Linked DNA regions of Cricetulus griseus. The protein of the gene in region 1 interacts with the protein of each later gene in a pairwise test. Links are inferred from orthologs where the notes say so. Each region holds a gene or a part of one and is shown on either strand. Other genes may lie near its edges.

What was found.
Region 2: the proteins of Klhl12 (region 1) and Inmt interact in binary tests that used the Homo sapiens proteins (3 or more experiments, as listed by UniProt). The two-hybrid records come from large-scale screens. The link is inferred for Cricetulus griseus from reciprocal best matches to the Homo sapiens genes KLHL12 and INMT.

What each region holds. Positions count from the first base shown.
Region 1 is NC_048598.1:54,777,747-54,781,393, reverse strand, and holds part of Klhl12 (kelch-like protein 12), read left to right. Parts: intron 1-1,842; coding exon 1,843-1,996; intron 1,997-3,647. UniProt on the Homo sapiens protein: Substrate-specific adapter of a BCR (BTB-CUL3-RBX1) E3 ubiquitin ligase complex that acts as a negative regulator of Wnt signaling pathway and ER-Golgi transport.
Region 2 is NC_048601.1:86,142,263-86,146,359, reverse strand, and holds the start of Inmt (indolethylamine N-methyltransferase), read right to left. Parts: upstream 2,945-4,097; 5' UTR 2,722-2,944; coding exon 2,565-2,721; intron 1,416-2,564; coding exon 1,208-1,415; intron 1-1,207. UniProt on the Homo sapiens protein: Functions as a thioether S-methyltransferase and is active with a variety of thioethers and the corresponding selenium and tellurium compounds, including 3-methylthiopropionaldehyde, dimethyl selenide, dimethyl telluride, 2-methylthioethylamine, 2-methylthioethanol, methyl-n-propyl sulfide and diethyl sulfide.

The DNA.
Region 1 (3,647 bases):
TCCCCCTTGTTCGGGTCAGCTATTTCTATGGGTTTTCTGGCATGGTCTTGACCCCTTTTTCATCACTCCTCCCTCTCTGCAGCTGGTTCAGTTCAGTGCTTAGCTGTGGGTCTCTGCTTCTGCTTCTATCAGCTACTGGGTAAAGGCTCTATGATAGCATTTAAGGTAGTCGTCAATCTCATTATAGGGGAAGGGCATTTAAGGCAGCCTCTCCACTACTGCTTAGATTCTTAGTTGGGGTCATCCTTGTGGATCCCTAGAGATTTCCCGAGCACCAGATTTCTTGCTAAACCCATAATGGCTCTGTCCTTTTCTTGCCCTGCTTCTCTATTCTTCCCACAACTCAACCTTCCTGATTCCTCATGTTCTCCTCCCTCTTCTCCTTCTCCCCTCTTCTTCCTTTTACCTCCCTTCCCCTCCCCCCAGTGCTCCCAATTTGCTCGGGAGATCTTGTCCCTTTCCCCTTCTCCGGGGATCAATCCACGTATGTCTCTTTTAGGGTCCTCCTTGTTTCCTAGCTTCTTTGGGGTTGTGGGTTGTTTTTTGTTTTTTAAGATTTATTTATTAGGTATAGTGTTCTGCCTGCATGTATGTGTGCAGGCCAGAAGAGGGCACAAGGTATCATTACAAATGGTTGTGAGCTACCATGTGGTTGCTGGGAATTGAACTCAGAACTTTTGGAAGAGCAGGCAGTGCACTGAGCCATCGCTCCAGCCCCTCCATCTTACTTTTGAGACAGGATCTCTCACTGAGACTCAGAATCTGCCTGTCTCTGCCTTAAGGCCTGGAATCACAGGTACATATCAATATTTTGAAGAACCATCAAACAGCTGAGTTGTATCCTGATAGACTTTTCCCCCCCACTTTTGTGTTTGCTTTTGGTTTTGTTTTTGATGTGTAGGATGTCATAACACAGCCTAGAGCAGCTCTAGCTCAGACAGTTAACAGAAGAGCCTTTTACAATGATCTGCATGTTCTTTTTCCATCCAGATGTACTCTGAGGGTAGATGAGTGGAATGTGGTAATCTTGGAGGAGGCTGTAACTATAAACCTCAGAGTCCTATTATCATGAAATTGACTATTTCTATTTTAGCCACACATGGTGGCAAATGCATGTAATCTCAGCCCTCAGAAGTCTGGGGCAAGAGGGTAGCAATAACTTCAGGGACAGCTTGGGCTACAAACTGAAAACCAGGCCAGCCACACTACAGCATATGGGTGGTGGGCGGAGAGGACAGAGAAGAGATAATGTTTTATCATAAAGGCACATAGACACTAGTGGTAAGTTTATGAAATACTTTTATATTCTGTTCTCTAAAACATCTATGTTGGTTTTAATATGAAATCAGGTTGGTAATTATTCTCTAGAAAATTTTGATATTCTACTGTTCACTACTAGGGATACAACCAACTGCCCACTCTATTTGCAGATTTACAAATACATGACATACTTGGTATATACAAATCAAATAAAATAGATGGTAATTTAAACATTTTTTATAAAATTATTTTACGTTTATGAGTGTTTTGCATGCATGTATGACTATGCCTTATGTGTGTGTGCCTGTTGCCTATGGAGGTCAGGAAATGGCATCAGTCCCCTGGAACTGGTGTTATGGATGATTGTGAACTTCCTTGGGTGCTGGGAATTGAACCCAGGTCCTCTGGAAGAGCAGCTAGTAATACTCTTCACCACTGAGCTATTTGTCCAGCCCCAGACTATTGTTTTTAAACGATGTATATTTAATTAGTACCAGTGTCCATTTGAGTTCTTAGGCTTAGATTCTGTCTTTACATTGTGGAATTAAAAGTACCATTCTTTTCTGCCTTATGAATTTTCAGCTTTCAGAGAAGGGGAAGCCATATGTTGACATTCAAGGTTTAACTGCTTCTACCATGGAAATCCTGTTGGACTTTGTGTACACAGAAACAGTACACGTGACAGTGGAGAATGTTCAAGAACTGCTCCCAGCAGCCTGTCTACTTCAGCTGAAAGGTACAGTTGAGAAAAGGTATCCTTGTTCCTGACACATCAGCCCTGGAAGTGGTTTTCATGATGTAAAATTAATCAAGACTTTCAGAGGCCCATCTAGAAGCATGACTTTTGAATCTCTGAGCATGGAAGTCAGGTGTATTTAAGAGCAATGCAAAAGACTCTCCAAATATGAGTATTTGGCTCTTGGAAAAGAAAATGTTTAAACTTTTTCTATTTTTGAGAATATGGAAGGACCAGGTGTGATGACTAACACTAGTTATCCCAGCACTTAGGAAGCTGAGACAGGAGGATTGTGTGAGTTTCAAGCCAACTTAGTCTACAAAATGAGATTTATGTCTCAAAACCAAGCCAAAGGGCTGAAGAGATGCCTCTATGGTTAAGGGCATGGACTGCTTGCTCTTCAGGAGGACCTGTGTTTGAGTCCCAGCACCCACTTGGTGGCTTACAACTATTGGTAACTTCGTTTCCAGGGAACCTGATGCCCTCTTCTGGGCACCAGGTAAGAAAATGGTGTACAGACACACATGTATGCAAAGCACCCACACATAAGATAATTAAGCAAAACAGAAGAATGGAAAATACAGGGATGTCCTTAATACATACATGCAAGCATACTTGCATAGTACTCATGTAAGAATTGCCAAGAAACTGATAGTGTTCATTTCCTGCAGAGATACTGTCCACTTATTTACCTTGTCATTAGGTGGCTATGGGCATGGAGAGGCTAAGAGGACTCTTCATATAAACCATTTTATATCTTTAAGTCTTTGAATCATGTGAAATATCTTTTTTAAATTTTATTTAGTTTATTTTTATTTTTTATGCGTATAAGTGTTATGCTGGAAAGTAGGACCTTTGGTGGCCACAGAGGTCAAATGTCAGAGCCCCTGGAACTGGAGTTATAGGCAGTTGTGAGCTGCTTTCTGGATGCTGGGAACCGAACATAGATTATCTTCAAGAGTGACAAATGCTTTTAATGGCTGAACCGTCTCTCCAGTCCCCTTGTTTGTTTTTGGGTTTTTTTGAGACAGGGTCTCATTATGTAACTCTGACTGCCTCAAATTCTAGCATAGCCACCTGCCTCTGCTTCCCAATACTATAATTAAAGGCATGTGCCACCATGCCTGACTTAAAATACTTATTAGAAATAAAATTTACCTAGCACTTGTGAAAGAGAGGCAACATGGGCTATATAGGTAGACCATGTCTCAAAAAAAGTAAATAAAATAAAATTTAAATCGATGTATAATAGTTAAAATATAATTTTCACTGCATTAGAGATGGCCTCCCTTCCAGTTTCTAGTCTATTTTTATGTGTGTGTGTGTGTGTGTGTGTGTGTGTGTGTGTGTGTGTGTGTGTACTTTTTCTTTGTTTTGGTTTACACTGTATAGAAAAAAACTGGCCCTGAGCTGTATCCCAGGTGTTCCTAATTCTATCTTCTTGCCTCAGCCTCTTGAGTACTAGGATTGCAATTGTGGTCAAGGACTAGCCAGTCTGTTTCTTTTAACCGCCATTTATGTATATCCACATAAATGAAACATTCTTGCTGTTGTTTTGTTTTGTTTTAGATGAGTCTCACTGTGTAGTCCACGCTGTCCTTGAGTTACTGATCCTTTGTATTCTTCTGAGTGCTGGGATTACAGGAACAAA
Region 2 (4,097 bases), on another chromosome or scaffold:
CACACACACACACACACACACACACACTTAAACATATGCATTGTACACACATACATGCACACATATACATAACACACATATACATGTTAACATACAAACAAACATGCACTTTGACACGCACACATTCATGCTGCGTCCACACATTGCAAACATAAATGCATTCGCACACATACACATGTACCCACACATGCACTCACACACACAATGAACACTTATGCTCTGCCACTATGTCACTCTTATCACAGCCTCTCGAGGGTGCCCGTTTGTGGCCTTGGTGGCCCTCCCTGATGCCTGGCCATGTCTTCCTGAGATGGGGTCCTTGTTCCCTCAGGCGCCCCAGCTCCTGGGAGAGGTCACCTTCAGCTCAGAAGAGGATTCTCATGTCCCTGTTGTAGCCTGTCCTTTCACCTCACACTACCTGTCTCAGGCTACAATGATGGCAGCTGTCTCTTCGTGTAACAGGAGCTCCATGGGGCTCCCTCCTCCTGGATGTGTGTGCTCTTGACTCACAGTGAGAGTGAGTGACACCCCGACGGGACTAACTCTAAGGCCCCTGTAATTACTGTCCCTCTAGCCAGGACAGCCTATGGTGGTCAGGGTCAGTCCTCTGTTCCAAGATCAGGGCAGAAATACTGACTTGTTTTTACCCTGTTCCGAGGAAGGCTAGAGTACTGTCTCTAAGCCAGGGCCTCAGTTTCCCCAGCAGTATAATCAGAATCACTGACTCTTGCAGCTTCAGTTGGGGCTAATACCCTCTATGAACCAAAGTGGACACAGGGCCTGCAGAAGACCACTGCTAATTGGTCTTTGGGGCTTTGTCACAGTGCTGAGGGGACAAGTGTGGGGTATACCTCCCAGCATGTCTTTCCATGATAAGTTTGTCTGCCAGCATCAACGGAGACATTGAACCAGTCTCCAGAGCAAAGCAGGAGTGGTGTGAACTGGGACAGTCGTCAGGACTTCCTGGAGGAGGTGACATAGAAGCTAGTGTCACAGCTGGTTTGAGCAGGTACAGAGAAAGGGAGAGCAGGGTCAGACAGTTTGGGGCAGCCTTGGGACTAGAGGTGGGACAGACCCAGAGGCAGGGTTATAAGTTCATGAGGTGCAGGCAGACCAGGAGGAAAGTAAGGTGGGTAATGGTCCCTGTGCTGTCCTGAGTGACCTTGTCTGAGAAGGATGAGGTCGATGGACGACACAGGGCAGTTACCTGTCTCCCTCCAGCTCACACACGTGCTGCACTATGGAGGACCAGTCGTAGGCCCCGGGCTCCTTCTTCAACCATTTCTGCAGCTCCTGCAGGTTCTGTGGAGTGTAGTCGCTGACGATGATCTCCCGGAAGGCCTCACATGCGGAAAGCAGCTGGTAAATGGTGGGGCCAGAGCCAATGTCAATCAGGAGATCGCCCCTTACACTTCCTGTGGAGACAGAATGGGCAGGTCCTGCTGAGAGCATGGAACTCCAAGCCTCATTAGGATGTGCCATCTGAGAAGGGCAGTAGCCTCTTGCCTCTGGTTGACAGGAGTGGGGAGCAAAGCTAGGACTGGGGTATAGCTAGCATTCTCAAAACCCTCCCAGGAAATTAGTGGAAGCACATCTGACCTTCTGGATAGACTTAGGATTGATTGCTGGTAGGTTGACACTGGCTTATCTCTAAGAACAGTGGATTTAGAAAACTGGAGATATCGACAGAGTGACAGGGTCTGGGATAAAGGTTGAGAAGGAATCCAGTGTGTTCTTAAGAGCCCTTCAGGTATACTAGAAAAGATAGCCATGTATCAGAAGACAAGGGCAGCACCAGGGTATCACCTTTAAGCCCCGCCCCTTCCCTTCTGCAGTCCCCTCTTACACCTGCTATGCCCCTGCCAAGCATCAGTGCCTGTACTCTGCCCAGCTTTCTCCAGGAGCATGTATCCTCCCTTCCTCTGTATTCTGAGGGAGCCCCTTGCCACACCTTCCTTAGCACAGAATGTCTAGTTAAGAAGGCCCCTTTTTCCCTTGGGGGGGGGCTGTGGTGTTGCTAAACAACCTCCAGGATCTCACAGAGCATACTCTCCTAGTACTGAGAAGTCTGAACTATTATACTTTATTCTTGCTGGTCTAATGGCTCTCCCTCTCCCTTCCCACAGTGCTAACCTTTAGTCTCCCCCACCTTAGATGTCGGGGGAAAATTCTGGACGCTTGTTTACATGTATGTTTGTGTGTATAAGAATTTTCATCAGATTTCCAGAGAATGCAATGTCCCAGAAATTCTAGAGAGCTCTCTGAAAGGCCTCTGCCAGAGGAGGAGGGTGGAGCAGCTTTGGTGCTCAGGCTCATTTTGTCACTTCTCCCAGAAGTGTCCTAGAAGCTCCACAAATCTGGGGGTACAAGTGAGGCATTCTACAAGTGAGGCAACTGAAGCTGACCATGGCTGCAAGCTCTCAAGGCATGGCTCCTCTGGACCCACACACATTGCCATCTGTGGGCTGCCAGGCTGGCCACCGCTGTAGCATCTGTATATACAGAATGAGCTCTTCACATTGGTACTGCTCCAGCCCCTCCCCCAGGGGACCTTAGCCACTCACCCGAAGAGAAGGTCTGGTAGAGGTTCTGCAGGCTAAACTTTATGATTTCCTTTTCTGCCACTGGGCCCGAGTCGAAGTTGTAGTAGGTGGCCAGGTAGTCTCGGGGGTCAAACTCTTGTTCATAGTCCTCACCTCCCTTGTATACTTTGCCCTCCATTCTGGTTAGCCCACTGCAGCTGTCTGTACTCCTCTTGCCTCTGCAGAGTGCCCATTCCCTCCCACCACACCTTTTATAGCCTCTTTTAATAGGCCTCCCTCTTCAGGGAGGAGCTAGGGTCCCGGTGGATGTTATCAGAGCGCTGGTGTCAGATTCCTGGCTCGATATGGTTTTTGTGATGAAGCATGAGAATGCTAGAGTCCTGTGTTATCATCGCCCCACCCGCTCCTGTCCTGGGACAGTCTCATCACTAGTTCCCCAGGGTGGTGTGGCTGGAGGCAGTATTGCAGGGAGAGGGAGAGGGAGAGAATTACACAGGGACCAAGAGAAAGTCAGAGCAGAGAGATCAAGGTCTGCTCAGGGATGCTTCTTCACTCTTGTGGTTGAGAGTAGAGGGTGGGGACTCAGGACCAGGTCCCCTGGCCAACACATTCAACACCCTGGGCTTCGTTTCTGCAACTGCAAACAAAACAAGAAGCAGAGCAGAAGTGCTCCTTGGGATGGGGATGTGGGACCTGAGATTGTCAAAATTTTTCCACTGCACTCAGTGAATTTGCATTTGCAAGCAGCTTGTCTTTAACTGAGTTAATGATTCCCTGGAGATTTTAATCTTGTTTTCTCACTTGGCTTAATGTTTTATTTTTTATTAGCTCAGGAGTAAACTTTGATAGCACCTCCCTAAATCACCAGGCCTGTGTTGGCCAAGCACTGTATTTGGACGAACAATTGAAAAAGTGCTGACATGCAGGAGAAGGTATCATCACGCTGCTTAGAGCTTCACACACCCAGGAACACGTGTGTGCACATGGGCACATTGCCCCTCCTGGCCCAAGATCACTAGCTTTCATGGGTCTGGTGTGATCTGGTCTGGTTGCTTTGAAAGATGATGCCCAGTCTGCTTTCTGTTGCTATAGTAAACACTATGACCAAAAGCAACTTGGGAAGGAAAGGATTTTTTTGACTTATACTTCCTGATCAGTCCATCTTCTATGAAAGTCGGGGACAGGAACTCAAGCAGGACCAGGGGGAGACCTTGAAGGAACACTGCTTACTGGCTTGCTCAGCCTGCTTTCTTATACAACCCAGGACTATTGGCCAAAAGGTGGCATGACCCACAGGGCCATGGGCCCTCCCATATCAATCATTAATCAAGAAAACCCCCACAGACCAGCATGATGGGGGCCATTCCTCACTTCCTAGGTGATTGGTTTGAGTTAGGTTGGCAGGGCTGCTACCACAAAGGGAAAGGGAAAGTTGATAAAGGATAGATACACTCTTACACCGTTGCAGGGATTCTGCAATGATCACAAGATGAAAAAAAAAAAAAAAGAAAGAAAGAAGAAAAGAAAAGAAAAAGCTTGCCCCATCTCTTTCTA